Linked DNA regions of Schizosaccharomyces pombe. The protein of the gene in region 3 interacts with the protein of the main gene of each other region in a biochemical or structural test. Each region holds a gene or a part of one and is shown on either strand. Other genes may lie near its edges. The genes, in order: mts4, ubi4 and rhp23.

The links.
Region 1: the proteins of rhp23 (region 3) and mts4 form a complex in vitro, tested with the Schizosaccharomyces pombe proteins (one study listed by BioGRID).
Region 2: the proteins of rhp23 (region 3) and ubi4 form a complex in vitro, tested with the Schizosaccharomyces pombe proteins (3 studies listed by BioGRID).

Annotation. Positions count from the first base shown.
Region 1 is NC_003423.3:2,850,607-2,856,102, forward strand, and holds mts4 (19S proteasome regulatory subunit Rpn1/Mts4), read right to left. Parts: upstream 3,497-5,496; 5' UTR 3,447-3,496; coding exon 3,309-3,446; exon of another isoform or gene 3,262-3,308; coding exon 724-3,261; 3' UTR 515-723; downstream 1-514. Other genes in the region: morphogenesis protein Mor2, read right to left, coding at 4,044-5,496. UniProt on the Schizosaccharomyces pombe protein: Acts as a regulatory subunit of the 26 proteasome which is involved in the ATP-dependent degradation of ubiquitinated proteins.
Region 2 is NC_003423.3:1,043,771-1,047,237, forward strand, and holds ubi4 (protein modifier, ubiquitin), read right to left. Parts: upstream 1,823-3,467; 5' UTR 1,797-1,822; coding exon 648-1,796; 3' UTR 501-647; downstream 1-500. Other genes in the region: ecm14 (carboxypeptidase), read right to left, coding at 1-189.
Region 3 is NC_003423.3:2,985,263-2,989,003, reverse strand, and holds rhp23 (UV excision repair protein rhp23), read right to left. Parts: upstream 2,076-3,741; 5' UTR 2,041-2,075; coding exon 1,972-2,040; intron 1,936-1,971; exon of another isoform or gene 1,932-1,935; coding exon 1,859-1,931; exon of another isoform or gene 1,818-1,858; coding exon 976-1,817; exon of another isoform or gene 929-975; coding exon 860-928; exon of another isoform or gene 808-859; coding exon 754-807; 3' UTR 515-753; downstream 1-514. Other genes in the region: telomerase regulator Est1, read right to left, coding at 1-37, 79-330; nucleosome assembly protein Nap2, read left to right, coding at 3,156-3,741. UniProt on the Schizosaccharomyces pombe protein: Involved in postreplication repair of UV-damaged DNA. Postreplication repair functions in gap-filling of a daughter strand on replication of damaged DNA.

The DNA.
Region 1 (5,496 bases), 130 kb from region 3:
TAGTCATATATGACATTTCTATCAATTCAAATACGAGCGTCATTCCATTTTTTCACATAACGAAATGAATGCACAACTTACCTGTGGAAATGAATTAACGATGAGCAGACTTTGGGACTGCATATGATGAAACATAATAACAATTCAAGATAATATTTGAAATTAAATAAAGCTATTCACCGTTATTCCCTAAATGCGAAGTATCTAATGTGCAGTTTTACCTTTAATGTAATGGTTAGGTATTGAAACAGTAGTAGAAACGTGACATAAGGGATGCGTCGCAAAGCAGTCAACTCCTTTGTCGGATTATCAGAAGATGATTAAAATTCATTCTTTGATAATTGCATTAAGCTCCAACGCAGGTCTAAATTTTTTTTACTAAGAAATGGTAGCTCCTTAGTTCGGGCAATTTTTATCCAACAAGACGTTTCTGCAGTGGACGTTCTATTACCTTTTGGTAACGCGACAAATACAAAAAAAAAGAAACAGAAATTATAATCCTAATTACAAATTTGCAATCATGTATATATACTTTCCGCTACTTCAATTTAGAACAATACTAGAACATTTCTAATCTAAAAAATACGAATTTAACATAATCGAAATAGAAAAATAAATGTATCGGGCGCTGAATTTCAACAATCCAGTTTGTTTTATTAATAGCAAAGAACTGGAAATCAAGCATTAGTACATAAAAATTGTAGTCATTTAACTTCAAGTCATTTAAGCGGTCATTTCAATGTCCTCCGTATTTTTTTTTAAAATAACAATACCTTCCAACGAAGTCAAAGGTGTATATGCTTCCGTCGCTAGTTCAGCTCGCTCATTGTGATGCAACAAAACTGGTGTAGTATGTGTGACCCAACCCGTAATGACCTTGGGACGACCAGCTTGACCGACCACATCTACTGCTTGACCAACTCGAACGCTTACTGGTAAATATTGACCGTCCTCACCAAGGGTAATGAGCATTCGGGGTCGTATTGCTAACGTAATAGCATAAAGCAACCAATGCGAGGTATCAAGGACAAAGGTATTTGCATCTAGCATAGCTAATACAACAGTCATAAGACCAGCAAAAGCAGTTTGACCAAGAATCTGCCGTTCTGTATGATAAGGGTTAAGCGTCATTGTTCCTTTTCCTAAGTAAAGTAAACCTTGAGCGATACGAACCATGAATAGAGCGTTGGATTCTTTGTGATAATAACTGGCTAGTTGGCGGAGTAATTGAGCCAAACGCGCATTACTAGTACCAGCACCAACAAGACCCATTGCAAAGATTGCGTTGTAAGCAACATCCAAATCATTATCGTGACTATAGCGTGAAAGCGTGTCAAATATACGCATTTGAGGATTGGAAGCGGAAAGCAATCCTAATGCAAGTGGTATAGCTTTTCGAATAGAGGGTTCGCCATAATGCATCATGTGATCGAAATGTCTCAAAACCATTTCTGCTCCAATATCTTCACCCATAGCTATAGTAGCAACACCAAGTGCTGCAAATGTCTGGATAGTAGTCTCACTCTCCTTAGCATCATCACTGGGAGGTTCACTACAGATATGAAGCAATTTTTGGATGTGAAGAACGTTGCCAGTTCCAGCATACGAGCAAATATCCACCAAAATTTCAGCTTGTCGTGCAATTTTACCCTCAATAGCTTTCAGTGTTTCGACTGTAGCATCCGCAAGGTCTTGTTTACCATTAAAAAGAAGGGCAAGGCCAAGAGCCATAAAACGGCCCCATTGATCATTTTGGGCAGACTCTTCACGCTCCATTAGAGTTTGTAAAATTGTGCTAGCTACATCGCCGTTGCAAGTACCAACAAAAATAAGACCTAAAGATAATGCGGCTAAGCAGGATAATTGCATAGGGCAATCGGTATCCGTAACAATTGGAGATAACATGTCGAGTAAATCTTCGCGATTAGCTCCACTGTATGCAAGTCCTAAACCTAAAATCGCTGATGCACGAAGCTTTACGGAGCCAGTTTCAAGGTATTCAGAAAGAATTGCCATAGCTGGATCAGCTTCATTTCTTACTGCAACATTTGTAACACCAATTCCCAACAATGCACCAGCCTTGGTATTCTCCTCAGAAGAGTATAAATACTTATCCAACAAAGACAATCCCATGTCAACATTCCATAATTGTAATAGGCCAATAGAAGCTGTAGCACTTATTAAACCAGATTCTTTATTTTTATAAATCCAAGACGTTTTTTCGTCATCGACCAAAATTAATCTGTCGTTACTGTATCCGGCATTGACAAGGGCATTGACAAAAGTGTTAGCTAAATTTTGTTTGGCGGAATACACTCCTGATGCACCCAATCCAGTCCTAGCCACTTCTAAATGTGTTTTAAAGATATCTTCCGGAACTTTAGGATCCATAAGGTTCAACTCCTTTCCTAGATAATGAAAGTGATCAGATAAATGAGTGTTATTTAAAGCATCGTTTAACTCCTCGTCTCCCATATCCATAGGTATTTGCTGACGAGCAAGCATGTAAGACATTTGCTTTTTCAACAAGGGATCCGTAGCAGCTTCACAGTCTTCTTTTATCAAAGACATATCATCAAGGCGGATAGCAACGTTAAGTGCTTGTGTAAGCTGGTCAAACTTCCGATAAATAGCATGCGCTGTTCTTAACATGGCGACATCTTCAGGAAATGGCAAAAGATTAACGCAACTGGTAATATAAAGACAAACGCGAGAAGCATTATCAAGTTCTACGAAGGGTACAACTTTTTCAATAGCACCCAATTCTTGTAATAAATCAATAGCATCAGCCTCAGCATTATGAGTAAGGAAGAATGGAACAATGGTCAATGCAAGTTCCATAAGATCGTCGGTTGGCGCTTCCTCTTCCTGGCGACTGGCAAACTCTTCTTCTATTTCGGAAGCCAAATGGCGAACATACTCATGACCCCATAAAGAAGGATCAGTGGTAACGCCCTGAAGACGATATTTTAATGATTCATGTTTGCTTGTATTACTATAGGACATTCCTAATACTGAAAGGATATCAGCAAGTTGAGTCTTCTGAGGGCTTTGCGGCCAGGAATCATAGATTTTAACGAGAGTAAAATAATGTGGTCTAAGAAACTTCAAAGGCTTTGGAACGGCCGTCATAGAGGAGGTAGAAGTACGAATTATTTCTTTAAGCTGAGTGAGACTGGAACCCACCAACTCAGGGGTGGCATCTTGAACAGCTTGAACTAATAATTCCAAATCATTTTTTAATTGTAAATCTTCTTCAGACTATTTGGTTAGTTTTCATTTTGAAAAATAATAGGGCTTTAACTTACTAAATCCTCTAATTCATCCCTTTCTTTGGTATTGTTCGTTGAGTTTCTGTCATTAGTTTCTGAAGTCTTTGTCCCTTTTTTGTCATTTAATGCATCATTACCACTCGGGGACTTCGAACTAATGTCTTTAGAACTCATTTTCTAGATTCCTAAGATTTTCTGAAACTGAGTAGTAATGTGTTGTCGTTGAAACTACTCTCACCCTAGTCAGAACCAGTATACCGATTGTTTACGTATTTGATTATTTATCACGTTAATTAGATTTAACAACACGCTATGCTTTCTTTATGGATCAGTACAAATGAAAAAATAATCTATTATTTAAGTTCGTCAATGTATTACCATTATTACACGATGCTTGACATTATTATCTCATGCCTCTTTTCTTATAAGAATTGTTGTAAAATAACTCGTTATTGATTGACTCTTTATGTTTTCATTTGTTTAAATACGGACATATGAAACCGATTTATATCACTACACCTAATTACCATAGTTATAGCTTGATTTTTAATAACATGACACGCTCTAAGATTTTGAATTCTAAAATTAAAGGCTGTAATGGTCAAAGAATTTTCGAGTTTAAATTAACAAAAAAATGCAAATGATAAAATAATGAAAACAAACGAATAGTTTTATATAGTACATCCATAAACGTTGCCGACTAATTTTCCATCTTACACACATGAACACCATAAAAGCTTGTATAAGTATACTAAACCAGTATAGGCAAATTCAATGCCAACCGCGGGATCGAGTTGTATCAGTAAAAGATTCATTGCTTTCACTTCCTTGAAACATTGTACGTAAATGATAATAATTTTCATGAGTTTCATGGTCTTCCACTGAATCTTCATTAATCATAGAAACAGATTGATCTAACATGGAATTCCAATTTTTATTTTGTTTCAATTCTGCTGCACCTCGTATTTCGTCCAAAGATAAACGATGTTCCGCCGAATTACCAAGTGCCTTTAAAGAAGGATAATAAGATTCAGCATCCATAAAGTAATGAGGTTTTAATTTAGAGATAAAAGACGACTTTCTTACTCTCACCGGCGGCATGTCCATCGGCAATTTTGCTGATGCATCAATTTCTTCGTTCGGTGAATAATCTCTGAAGGATTCTGTTTCATAAGCCATAAGACCTTGTTTCTGCCGTCTAAGGCTACCTGAAAGAATCGTAGCTATCCGATCGTCATAATCTTCCGATGTAATATCTAATTTTGGATCAACGGCGACATCAGGCTGAATTAACTCTTCATCCCTATCTTCAGCGAAGAAGACATCGAGGCTATGAAGAGTTGTAACTAGCTCTCCTAGTGAATTTTCGTCAAGCGAACCATGACTGTCAGTAGGAACGTGTCGCGGATAATTGGATACTTCATCAGCATGAAATCTAACCTCTGGCGTACTCACAGAAGCCTCGGTAGTGGAACAGCTATAAAATACGGCATGTACGTTGCTTTTAGTTATAGCAGCTGCATATTCAGAGTTTGGTTCATACCATCCATCCTCGTCAGGTATTTCAAAAAATCCAGCCAGACGATCATCTGAATTTTTTAATTTAGGGTCAACCATTAATAACTTTAAGGTTTGCATATCTGTGGGAGCAGATACATGAAGCACTGAGTCGGTTAGCAAAGACAACGCTTCCATTGCATAACCAGTAGGTAAGAGTCGAAGAAGCGGTGAAACAATACCTAATCCATGTTCGGAATATATAGGTTTTTGGAAATCAATTAATGGAAAGAGTTCTTTTAACACATCTAACGTAGACTTTCTAAACCAAGTCAAATTATTTGATAGAAACATCGTAAGAGTACTAACAATTTCTAGCTCGTAATCTTCAAAATAATAGGAGTATAGGTATGAAACCGTATGTTTTAAAAAATCCTTAATTGACCTGAATTTACGTTTGAGATATGTGTCAAGAAGCTCAATCAATGCATCATCGTTAAATTGTGAAGCAAGAGTAGCTAATTTATGACAGAAAACACTTAAATCAAAAGTAATAGGATCTGAATGCTCGTATGTATATACCATCGCTGGTAATGACACCAACAAGCAGGATAGTATCCTCAAATAACCAACGCCAACCAAATCATTATCCTTGAAATCCATCAGCAAAAGGAAAAAATTCATGGTAATTTCAAAAGAATTAGTTGAACGGAAACCTTTTAATATT
Region 2 (3,467 bases), 1.9 Mb from region 3:
CTGTTCTTCTGATATGGCCGCAGTCTCGCCATTAAACCCAACGTAACTGGTCATCCAAGATCGAATATCTGAATTCCATTTCACTCCAAGTTCTCTAGAACTTTTTCCGTAGCAAAGGAATAATACAAATACGATCTGAGAAGCCAAAAGGATAAATACTAAAGACTTTAGAGATTTATTGTAAGCCATGAGTTAGAAAGAGCAGTCTTCAGTGACATGGAAAAAGGAGATATAGAATAATTAAGATATTCCCTTTAGAAAAGCGTCGAAATAAATAAATTAAGTAACGCTTGTTCGGTATAATTAATAAGAAGAATATAGCTTGGCGCTTCGCCCAGCTTTGATTATCTACGTAAGGGACGACAACAGTTTAACGCTGAAATTAGCTACTACTCAACGAAATTTAACCTCTTCCCTAATCAAACGCTATAACACTTTACATCGGTGAAATCAGGTCTCACTATTGCCTATAAATACAAACATGGATCGCACATTAAGAATATACTAAATTAAGTCAATAATATTATACCAACATAAATAAAGCAAAAAGCTATAGTATATTGCTATAATGCATTGTATAGTTATGGATAACTAAATCAGCCAATTGAAAAAACGTTAAAGTTGAACTAGTCAATTACAAAGGATGATTAAAAAAGACCGCCACGAAGACGAAGAACAAGGTGAAGAGTAGACTCCTTTTGAATGTTGTAATCTGAAAGAGTACGTCCATCTTCAAGTTGCTTACCAGCAAAAATAAGACGTTGTTGATCAGGAGGAATGCCTTCCTTATCCTGAATCTTGCTCTTTACGTTATCAATGGTGTCAGAAGACTCAACTTCCAATGTAATGGTTTTACCAGTCAAGGTTTTGACAAAAATTTGCATACCGCCACGAAGACGAAGAACAAGATGTAGAGTAGACTCCTTTTGAATGTTGTAATCTGAAAGAGTACGTCCGTCTTCAAGTTGCTTACCAGCAAAAATAAGACGTTGTTGATCAGGAGGAATGCCTTCCTTATCCTGAATCTTGCTCTTTACGTTATCAATGGTGTCAGAAGACTCAACTTCCAATGTAATGGTTTTACCAGTCAAGGTTTTGACAAAAATTTGCATACCGCCACGAAGACGAAGAACAAGGTGAAGAGTAGACTCCTTTTGAATGTTGTAATCTGAAAGAGTACGTCCGTCTTCAAGTTGCTTACCAGCAAAAATAAGACGTTGTTGATCAGGAGGAATGCCTTCCTTATCCTGAATCTTGCTCTTTACGTTATCAATGGTGTCAGAAGACTCAACTTCCAATGTAATGGTTTTACCAGTCAAGGTTTTGACAAAAATTTGCATACCGCCACGAAGACGAAGAACAAGATGTAGAGTAGACTCCTTTTGAATGTTGTAATCTGAAAGAGTACGTCCATCTTCAAGTTGCTTACCAGCAAAAATAAGACGTTGTTGATCAGGAGGAATGCCTTCCTTATCCTGAATCTTGCTCTTTACGTTATCAATGGTGTCAGAAGACTCAACTTCCAATGTAATGGTTTTACCAGTCAAGGTTTTGACAAAAATTTGCATACCGCCACGAAGACGAAGAACAAGGTGAAGAGTAGACTCCTTTTGAATGTTGTAATCTGAAAGAGTACGTCCATCTTCAAGTTGCTTACCAGCAAAAATAAGACGTTGTTGATCAGGAGGAATGCCTTCCTTATCCTGAATCTTGCTCTTTACATTGTCAATGGTATCGGAAGATTCAACTTCCAATGTAATAGTCTTTCCAGTTAATGTCTTGACGAAAATCTGCATGGTAGAGATTGTGTGTGTACAAATGCAAAGTAATGAAGGGGGGAAGCCACCTTTATATAGACGTCGCCACTGCTCCTCATTTTTCACTCATTCATAAAATCAAAATTTAAATACAATCTCCAATACGATAGTTTTTTCTAAATACATTTATGTATAGAAATTGAAGCATATGCACTCAAATTTTTGTTGTGTTTATAAATATACATTGCATCGATTCGTTCGTATGCCATGTTGTCTACTGTGTACGCAACAAAGATTCCTAGACGATATGATGTCACCTCGGTGTCAAAATTAGTCAGTGACCAAAAAAATACAGGAATCCCCCTTATCGCAATGTGAAATGGTGTCTGCAATTCAAACATATCGATCATTAACGTGGCTTTGCAAAACGACTAGTACGAGAGGAAACGATGCAACAGTACAAAATGAAATAGGATAAATATCTGTTTACGCACAGACACTTTGGGAGACATATTTCTAGTGCATAGGTAGTTGGGTAGCTGTTGATAAATCCATGTCAAATAAGCATATTGTTGTACTTTAAAACGAACGAATAAAAAGTAAACATGTCTTAAAAGATAAGATGCTTGGTACGAATAGGAAAGATAACGACTAACTTCTATCAGCAGAGTTACTGTCCATTTCAGTGTAGATGTGTCGCTACAAAGGAGGAATTAACATTTTTCTAGTCCTAGGCCGTTCAAATAGATATCCACAATTTGAAGAACAATTAAACAACATTATCTTTTCCAATTTCAATATTTGAATGAAATTTGCTCATAAATGTGCTTTCCTTTGTGGTTGAATGAGAAAATAATGACAAGACTATAAAATCATGTGCGATTTAAAAGACGAAAATAAAAAAAAAGTCGACAATACGAACGATTATTAAAAATCGTTTTACATCCTTAAAGTATTGTTTATCATCATTAGAAGCATAATCCGAAAGATACCATGGTCTACGATATATGTGCTCTTTGTAAATTTTGATGTTTATACTTTTTTTTGATGTGGGTCAGGTTTGTGACTGGGAATTTGGAGTAAGCTGCGCTCATGCTTCTTAGCGATAATTAGCATAGTTTAATGCTTTTTTAATGAATAATTTATATAGATGTTAGGTTTTAAAACGCAGATTTCTTATTCATATGGAATTCTACTAATTTCTTATGTAGCACACGGAGTATAATATATTTTGCTAATCAATAAGTTAACCGCCAACCTGAAATATTAGAATACTCATCTACTTTGAGCTGTTCCAGGTTACAATTGTACAAGTAGTATCAACCCATCCCTAGTATTTACATAAGTGTTTCCGTACAAACGGTGGGTTACTTACAATAAGATCATTAAAATAATTAATTCTCCTGATTATGGTTCTAAGGTTACTTGGATTTTTGAAAACTCTACTATCAAGTTATGTAAATTAAAAATAGTAAAGCCGGTACTTAATAAAAGTATACATTCTTGCCATTTTTTGGACAGCAATTCGGCTATGTATATTTGATCCTTGGTAGAATCCTTTCGTGTTTTTACTAAGATATACGAAAATATAAGTAGACGAGGATCTCTTACTACCTTTCTAATTGCTAATGTGCTAAGTCAGCCCCAGTTATCACAATCGTACAATGTCAACAATTCACCGGGACGTTACTTATGCAATAACCTAGTTGT
Region 3 (3,741 bases):
TTGTCTTTTTTTTTTCAACAACGTGTCGAGGATGTATCTTAAAATTAATAATTGTCCCATACTTTAGTTTTTACTCACCTCTCTAAACCTACTTCTAAAATGTTGAATAATTTTATAATGGCAACATGACCATATAATATCTGGACGTTCAAAAGTATTTGTTTGAATACTTTTTAGACGATTTAACAGTTTCTTCTCAACTTCAATTTCAATTGCTATAATTTTCTCATATAAATCATGCTTAAAACCTCCTTGAGCTGCTTCACACAGCGCTTTGACGAGCTTTCCCTGCTCTTCACAAATTTCATTACTTGAAAGTTGTTGCGACATTAATTATAATATCGTCACATTTTAAGAAAAATATAAAAAATTATCAAAAACGTATTTCTGCAGCGTTGAGCGTGGAAATTAGACCACTTAAGTCACTTGACTTCTTCCTACTTGATATCTTATGCAAAAACCCTAAGCGTAATGACAATTCAGTATTAGAGAAAGAAAAATATGGTTCTATCAAATAAAATAGTAGGGAAAAAAAATATATATATGTATATATATAATATTTACATGTACGACAAATGATTGAAAACAACTTATGTGCTGTGCTCGGAGCAACCCTGTACTCAACAATTACAAAAATATCATTGTTTTGTTTAATATTCCGTATCCTTAACTAAATGCTAGCAATAAAGAGCTGAATTAGTTGCCATTTAGGCGTTTTTCAAGCGAAAAGCAATAATTTATAAGGTGCGCGCTTTAAGGTTCATCCTCAGATTCATGTCCATGCTCGAAAAGGTAATTAGCAGCAAGCTACAATTGTTAGTTGATAATTCAATAAATCAAAAAAAAAAAAAAAACACACCTCTTCATTTTTATCACAAGCTAAATAAGCCTGAATTACAATGTTTCTGTCGAAGCCAAGTTGACATAACTAAAAGCTTGTTAGATAGTTAAAACAAAAAAATAGAAATAACATACTCTATCAATACTCTCAGATTCTTCTTGAGTAATTTGAATCTGAATTCCACCAGAAGGTAAGGCAGACTCGCCTTCGGCACCCTCCGCCAATAATTGCAAAAATGCTTCAGGATTTTGCGTAATAGCTTGAGCCAATGCAGGATCTCCCTGCCCAATTTGTTGCAATATAGTTTCCAACATCTGTGGATTTTGTTGAACAATTTGTCTTAGCTGTTGAAATTGAGGAATGCTACGAAGGAAGCCTAGAGGGTCATCACCAACGGTATTAGAAGGTTGTTCTTGATTTTCATTTTCTGATAAAGCAGCTTGTTCAAAAAGATTCGCTGGCTGGCCAGTGGAAGTAGGAGCAAGGGCTTCGCTTTGCTGTTGCTGAGCAGCAAGGGCTGCAGCACTCTCTTCTCTCTGTCGATTGAGAATGTCTTCGGGAATACCAGTTAATAAGTATTCCACTGCCCGATCAGGGTTGTTAAAAGCGGCACGCATGGCTCTTTCAACTTCGCTGCGTTCGTATCCCATTTCTACCATATTTTCGACAGCAACATTTCGTTGAGCACCAACTGCCAATGTGTTGGCGTCTATTGGTGCTTCACTAGTGGCAGTAGTATCTGGGTTTGAAGGGGCAGCAGCAGCAACAGTTTGTGTAGTAGAGGTAGATTCCGCCACGGTAGAAGAAGGAGCTTCAACTTTCTTTTCAGGTACGGAAGCCGGAGGATTGGGGGCAGGACTGGCAGCTGATTTCGGAGTAGAGGTGGAAGTTTTGGGTCGTGAAACCATGCATACAATGAAATCCTGTTCTTTTATATTGTATTCGCCAACAGTTTTGTCATCAGCAAGGATTCGACCTATAAATTAGTATTTTACATATTAAAATTATGTTATATACCTGAGTAAATTAACTTTTGACGTTCGACTTCATAATTCTGTTGCGTTTGAATTTTTTCTTTTAATTCTGAAATCTGTTTACGTTAGAAAAATAATATGCCACAATTATCATACTTTGGTATCTGCAGAAACATCAGAAATAACAAATTTCTGCTGCTGTAGATTTTTGAATGTCAAATTCATTTTCAAAGCAAATTTGGCGTAGTGGGTAAATGTATAGTAATGAAAACCTCTTTGAAAAAACGTTGCATCAGAGAATAATTGTCAAGGTAGCAAACAAACACCATACACAAGTAACATTATTTGGTATCATCGCATTGTTTATCATAAAATGTGAATGAAAAATCTAAAAAGCAAAACAGTTTGGTTTATTTGAACCTAAAATTTAATGTAAGAAAATATTTCATTTGTTTGAAAGTGTTGTGAGTGAAACATTTACCTCGTTTCCAAGTCCATTAGTACTCAATACAGTGTATTAGTTTATTCTTTATTCTTTAATTTACTATATATATATATATTTTTCTGTTGGATTATTCATTCTCATTTTCTATTTATTTACAGAACGATCGCTAATAAATTTATATATATTAATTATGATTTGTTTATTTAAGTTAGCAATGACCGTTACAATAGCAGATTTTTATTTACAAGTTTGACTTTTGAATTATGTTCCGATAGTTTTTCGCTCCTCCGTGGGCAACTAACTAGTAAACAAATGCTACAATAAGGTTGTTTAACTCATGAATATAGAAGTATATGATACGTAGAGTTGTTTATTAATCAGTATCCATATATATATATTTTTTATAGAATTTTCAACTAATAATTGGGATACGATACATATGTTAAACTAATATGAATAGCGTAGACACTTTGCTTAAACGAGATATATACATTTGTTTATTTCATTGATTTTTTTTTTAGCTATTTGGACAGCTACATCAGAATTTGAAAGCAGCGCCTTTGGTTTATACAATCCATTACCTTTGTCAGAGAAAGTATAAGGAAAGCGGAGAGAAAAAAGTCAACGTATATGTAAACTTCCGGATGCTTTCTAATTTTACATATTCTTCCAAATAAAACCCCAAATACTATCCCAAACTATGATAGCCGCTAAACACATAAATATATTTCATTAAAGACTCTCATACGAAAAATGCTGTAAACATATCATTAAAATATGCTAAGCTGCAATAACGAGTCAGGCCCAACATCTCTTTGGTAGACTTCACGAAGATCCACAGTCCAACAACGAAGCTTTACCAATTTAATTTAATCTCCGTTTGCATTATTAAAATATGTCTAAAGGTCCAGGAGATTTTAAGAAGTCTTGGAATGGGTTTGCTGCTCAAACGCCACAAAATACTCCATCTTCAGATGTACATCTTAGTAAGGCCGCATTAGAAAAAGCTAGACAAACCTTGCAATCACAACTGGAGGACAAATCAGCACATGATGAAGTTAGCGGGTTATTGCGCAACAATCCGGCCATGTTATCAATGATTGAGGGACGCCTTAGCTCGTTGGTTGGAAAGTCGTCGGGATATATAGAGAGCCTTGCGCCAGCAGTCCAAAATCGTATTACAGCATTGAAAGGCCTTCAAAAAGATTGTGATGCAATTCAATATGAATTTCGTCAAAAAATGTTAGATCTGGAAACAAAATACGAGAAAAAATATCAACCTATTTTCTCTAGAAGAGCCGAAATTATCAAGGGTGTTTCTGAACCAGTGGACGACGAATTAGATCACGAGGAAGAAATATTTCAAAATAATCTTCCAGATCCTAAGGGAATTCCCGAATTTTGGCTGACTTGTCTTCATAATGTTTTCTTGGTTGGCGAAATGATAACACCAGAAGATGAAAATGTCTTGCGATCACTCA